Linked DNA regions of Rattus norvegicus. The protein of the gene in region 2 binds, or shares a complex with, the protein of the main gene of each other region. Links are inferred from orthologs where the notes say so. Each region holds a gene or a part of one and is shown on either strand. Other genes may lie near its edges.

What was found.
Region 1: the proteins of Cinp (region 2) and Airim are in contact, whole or in part, in a cryo-EM structure (PDB 8RHN), measured with the Homo sapiens proteins. The link is inferred for Rattus norvegicus from reciprocal best matches to the Homo sapiens genes CINP and AIRIM. Residues at the interface, in NP_116019.1 of Homo sapiens: Leu161, Leu162, Thr165, Glu169, Asp177, Leu178, Leu180, Ser181, Tyr182, Ser184, Met185, His188, Pro190, Tyr191, Val192, Glu193, Ser194; in NP_001289959.1 of Homo sapiens: Leu107, Gln110, Ala113, Ala114, Asn116, Leu117, Phe119, Val122, Ala124, Leu125, Phe128, Pro129, Asp130, Leu131, Arg134, Leu135, Lys138, Gln139, Ala142.

What each region holds. Positions count from the first base shown.
Region 1 is NC_086023.1:142,486,262-142,489,394, reverse strand, and holds the end of Airim (ribosome biogenesis protein C1orf109 homolog), read right to left. Parts: intron 2,723-3,133; coding exon 2,543-2,722; coding exon of another isoform or gene 2,413-2,542; exon of another isoform or gene 1,117-2,412; coding exon 998-1,116; intron 862-997; coding exon 782-861; 3' UTR 702-781; downstream 1-701. UniProt on the Homo sapiens protein: Part of the 55LCC heterohexameric ATPase complex which is chromatin-associated and promotes replisome proteostasis to maintain replication fork progression and genome stability.
Region 2 is NC_086024.1:135,706,269-135,708,794, forward strand, and holds the end of Cinp (cyclin-dependent kinase 2-interacting protein), read right to left. Parts: exon of another isoform or gene 1,525-2,526; coding exon 1,322-1,524; 3' UTR 523-1,321; downstream 1-522. UniProt on the Homo sapiens protein: Component of the DNA replication complex, which interacts with two kinases, CDK2 and CDC7, thereby providing a functional and physical link between CDK2 and CDC7 during firing of the origins of replication.

The DNA.
Region 1 (3,133 bases), on a different chromosome or scaffold from region 2:
CCCAAACTCAGAGGGATGTGGCCAATGAGAGGCCCCTTAGCCCTGTCATCTGGGGAGCCTCACTATTCCTCAGGTACCTCTCTTTTCTTTTTTGAGACAGTCTCAGTTTGTGACCTTCATTGGCCTGGAGTTATGTAGACCAAATTAATCTCAAAATCACAGAGATCCACCTGTCTTTGCCTCTAGTCCTGGGTGGGATACCCAAGCTCCCCAGCCTGCCCTTAACTTTTCAACAGCAACAAGAGCAGGGCATTCAGAACCATTCATGCTGCACCATCGCCCCCTGGTGGCTGACTCTGGAAGTGGAAATTGGCTTGATGCGCTTCTGTGAAGCAGTAAACATTGTAAACATTCCCTTTCCTTCAGTCCCTCCCTTTTTGGGGGTCTGTAGGGAATTGAGTCTGCCCCCCGCACCCACCCCACACTGCTCCAACCCTAGATTCCCAGACCCACTCATATCTTTAAGCCATTAAGGACTGAGATACTGACATGCACTAGACCAGGACCTGGGCCAACCAGAGAAGATGGTTCAGATGATAGGCAGCAGCGTCCACACAACTTTGCCTTCTGCCCTTTCCTGCTTTGATGGACCCTGTTTCTCAGCACCACCTCTCCTGTCTCCTCCGCCTCCCTTCACTTCTCAGAGCCGCAGGTGCAGCGGCCATGTCCTACCATGGAGAGGTCCTAGTGGCCTCTACCGGAGGCAGTGGTATTGCAGTGAGTCAGGGTGCAGCAATACTGACCCTCAATTAGAAACAGCCTAGGGTAACAATGGCAGCCCTCAACTGCGGTGCTCCAGATCTCCAGATACTGCACGGCTTCCTGCTTCCTCCAGGAAGAAGGAGACACTCAACAGGATATCTAGAACAGGAAGCAAGGTACAAGGCATCAGGTTTGTCAAGGCCCCAAAGTACAGTAGGGAGTGTCTAACGCCTCCAAAGAGGCCAGCCTGGGGGGAGGGGGGGGGAGGCAGCATGGGACTGACGGACACCAGTACCTGACACAAGGGTTTGGCACTCATCTTCTGAAATTTGGTCCCAGGCCTTGGGCAGTGCTTGGATGCTGGCTAAGTCTCCCCAGTGGATGGAGGAGAGGAGGTGCTTTCTCTTCAGATACCTTCCCAGAAGTTAAGGACTGCTCAGAAAAAGAAACGAACGTATTTAAATCAAGATGCTTGTGTCACCAGATCATGTGATCTTACGGGATTACTGTTGAATGTGGTCCATCTCAGCCATGTGGCTAAAAACAAAAGGGTAGTGGAGCCAACCAGTGTTAGTGGCCACCACTAGCACACCTAGAATGATATTGTAGTTATGATAGAAAACAGGGAAATGAGGATGGCCATCCCCACCTTTCCAGATCAGGCAACAATCTCCTCTGTCAACCTGACTGGATTTAGAATCGCCATGGAAACACGATACAGGTTGTGTCAGTGCTGGTGTCTCCAGAAAGGTTGAACTGAAGTGGGAAGACCCCTCTGAATGTGGTATTGTTCCGTGGGCTGGGGTTGAGGATGAACAGAGAGGAAGTGAACAGAGCCCCAGCAGCCAGCACTCCCTTCCTGCTTCCTGAGCGATGCAGGCACAGCATGACCAGTGGCATATGCTCCTGTCTGTGCCCTCCCCTCTATGATGGACATATCCTCGCAGTTATGGCCTGAAACAAATCTGTCTGTCCTGTTTCGTGATGGATACTTGGTCGCAACATGAAGGACAGTAACGCAGTGGGCACTGCTGGTGCATGCTCAGCTCTGAATTTGTAGCTCACTAAGTGAGCCAGCTGGAGGCCATGGGAGTCTGAGACGCAGAGCCAGGAGCAGTAGTAAAGGGAGCAAAACCAGGGTCAGAGGACAGTCATGGACAAGAATGGAGAAGGCAGACCTGTGGCTAATTTTCTGCTCTCGGGCTTGTTCCCGACCATGCCAACTGTTCTTGAGAACATGGCCCAGCACTGTTAAGCATAGACCTTGACCACGTGGTTCTGCTTAAAACTTCTGAGACCTCTGATTTCAGAGTAACAGCCAAAACCTTCAAGTTCTTTCTCAAAAACAAAAGGGGGGTGGGGAAGGGCTTCTGTCACTATCCTCACACCCTGCCCTTGCCCCACCAGCCTCGTGGTCAGTTCCTACATGAACCAGACATGCTCCCACCCAGGCCTTCACTCCATGTACCCTCTGCTTGGACCACTCTTCTTCTGAATATCCACATGGCTCGAATGCCGTGAGTATCACTGTCTCAGGATGTCACTGTCTCATGGGTTCCTGCCAGGACCACACTACTAAAGTCACGGCCCACCTTCCCTCACTCGTCCTCCCTCATTCTTAGCTCACATCCGACACCATACACTCACTTTTCTACGCCTGCTCTCAGCACTTACAGCAGTGTCTGGCAGATAAACTGTAAGAAATGACTACTAAAAAAAATGCAAGAAGAATCTAAGATTGAGCGTTAAAGAGAACTGCAGCAAATCATGCAGCCTGCTGACCCGTGAAGTCTGAACCTGTAGGGCAGCTCTGGGAGGTCGGGAAGCACTGAAAGGATATGAGCTTCGAAAATGTCTGTCAATGTCCTGCAGCCACTCCAACATGTCAGTCACGGAGGGGCTCACAACCGAGGGCCTCAGGAGAGTATCGATGTCAAGCACGTCCGCATGCTGCTCATAGGTCTGAAACACCTGCTCCACGTGGCTGCTGATGGTGTTGCGAACCCTGAGGAGGGTGGCTCTGTAGAAAAAGTAGGGAGTTAGGTGGTATCCCAGAAAAGATAGGGGGGTAAGGCTTCTCAAATCACTACTGCCATTTTGAGGTTTTGTTTCAGAGGGGACTTAAACCCTTAGACATGTTAGGAAAGCGGTCTACCACTGAGCTACATTCTAATCTCACTTTATAAATTCTTTTTAATTTAGTATGGGGGAAGGGCATGCACATGCCAGAGCACATGTGTGGAGATCAGAGGACTACTTTGTGGTGTCCATTCTGTCCTCCCACCCAGAAACATGGGTCCTGGGGAATGAACCCAGGTCATCAGGCTTGAATACCAAGTCTCTCTACCCAATGAGCCATCTTAACTGCCCATGATGGTCAGTTCTTGAATGGCAATGTGGGCTCAGCGTGCACAGCCTGCTTAAGGAAATG
Region 2 (2,526 bases):
GACAGGAGAAACACAAGCTTGCAAGCCAGGTATCCCGGTGTTTACAGCAGTGAACAAGAGGCTCTGTATCAAGGCAGAAGGCAAGGCCCCACACCCACTGCAGATGCAATGTAGCTCGTGTGCCCATACACACAGACACGAGAGAAGGAGCAGGGTAGTCTTGGGTATTCCCCAAAAGATGGGCGCAGTGGCCCAAGAGTGCCCACCCCCAGATGGGAACAGTGGTCTTAGTGCGCCCCCATCAGGAAGGAGTGAAGGAAGTACAAGTGGTCGTTCCTGAGGGCCAGTTGACCTCACTATACAGGCAGCTCTCCCTGAGGAATGTTAGTTCTCTATGGACTTAGGCAGTATGCTAATGGCTGAGAGAAAGCCAAACAGACACAGCACATCCAGGCCCCAGATGGAAACAAGCTGCAGTTATTGGTCGTCTCACTGGCTTGTTCATCTTTTCATGCAAGCAGTAGCAAGTTTTGGTAAGTGGTTTTCATTTTTGTGACACTATACTCAATTAATTCTATTGGATTAAAAACAGTGTATTTCAATATATTTTATTAATATATTTTATATATTAAATATATATATTTCCAGCTATAGGAGAAATGACTGAGCACTTAAGAGCATGAACTGTTTTTCCAGAGGACTGACTGGAGTTTGGTTTCTGACACCCAAATCAGGTGGCCGACAACCTCTTGTAACTCTAGCTCCAAGGACCCCACCCCCACCCCCATTTGTGGTTGCCCTGGTCATCTGTACATGTGGCCTATACACAAATACCTAAGTAAAACTAAAATTTAAAAAGATTATTTCTCTGTGGGTGCATGTGCATTTGCACACATGCACATGCAAATATGTGTGGCTGCCAGGGGAAACCAGAAGTTCACAAGTGCTCTCAACTGCTAAACCATCTCTCTGTCCCCACTTAGGAGACTTTACACGTCTGGTATTTCTGGGATAGTTTCAGAACTAAAACATTCTCTTCAGATTTTAAGCACAGGGTTGGGAGTGTGGACCAGCAGTTGAATATTCAGTTTGTATGAAGTCTGGATTTGATTTCCAGGACCACAAAACAGACAAATGGAGGACAGGTACAAAGTAGTAGCTTCTAGGAAACTCAGGCTGTCTCCAGGATGTAACAGTGAAGTCCGCCGGTTTACAAAACTCGGCCCTCAGCCATTGTTTATGTCACTGGAGCTTCAGGATCTCTGGGACGGAGCAGTGGGGCAGCTGCAGCAGTGGGGAGAGCGACCCCAGGACCCTTGAGGCACAACAGCCAGTGGTCTGGAGCTCCAAGACCGTGGTCACAGGCAAGGTGGCCAGGGAGTCAAAGGGCCCGGTGCCCTGTTTCCAGCAGCATGCTCTCTAGCTGCAGCTTGCTGTCGCTCTCTATGTAGGGCTGGTGCAGCCACATGGACAGGTAGGTCAGGCTGAGGTTGCGGTCTACAGTATGGGCCAGCTCTGCGCCAATGGTGTGCTTCAAAAGGAGCTCCTTCCTGTATGCTTCGGAGAGCTGGTGGGAGACCTCATCTGCAACAGAGCACACACCATGGCTGCATGAGAACACTGTCCTGAGTTGGAGCCGAGCTTTCACAGGCTCCTGATTAAAAGCCGGAGCTGGTACTGGCAAGGTGACTCACCTGGTAGAGTACTTGCCCAGCATGCATGGAGCCCTAGGTCTAATCCCCAGTGCCCAGAGGCAGTGTGGGGGTGAATGCTTGCAACCCAGCGCTTGGAAGAGGATGGAGGGGGGGGGGTACAAGATCATCCTCAGTGTCCTGGGCAACAGAAAACATAAAAGCAGATAGAGCAGCACTGGGATAAAGAAGGACCAAGCCAGTCTAGATGGATGGGTAAATGGTAGGAAGCACAAGGCCACACAACTCTTGCGAAACTTGTAATGGTAAGCCACTTCATCCAGATGAAGCAGGGGGACTGCTATAAGTTTGAGGCCTGCCTGGGCCAGTTTAGCCTAGACTAAGTTTAGCCTAGACTAAGACTATGGAAAAGGAAGGGGGCTAGAGAGGTGATCTAGCAGTTAAGAGCACTGGATGCTCTTCCAGAGGAGCTGGGTTCAATTTCCAGCACACGTGTCAGGAGGTGACAAATCCATATCACTCCTGCTCCAGGGGGACACAGTGCCCCTGGTCTTCAAGGGCACCTGTCTTCATGTATGTGCACATACCCACACAAATAATTAAAAATAAAGTAAATCTTAAAAAAATAAACTTTCAGTCCCCAGCTCCGAAAAAAAGAAAAAAGAAAAAAAAAAAAACAAACTGATCTGGGTGGTGGTGGCTCACACCTTTAATTCCAGCACTTGAGAGGCAGAGGCAGGTGGCTCTCTTGAGAATCTGAGGCCAGCCTGGGCTACAGAGTGAGTTCCACAGCAACCTGGACTACACAGAGAAAATCAAAACGAACAAAACAAAAACAATACCCCCACCCCTCCTCAAAACCCCAATATCAAGTAGTTTAACCTCCACAAAGTTTTTTCTGCATTTTATTCTTTCTCTGCATGTACATCCCATG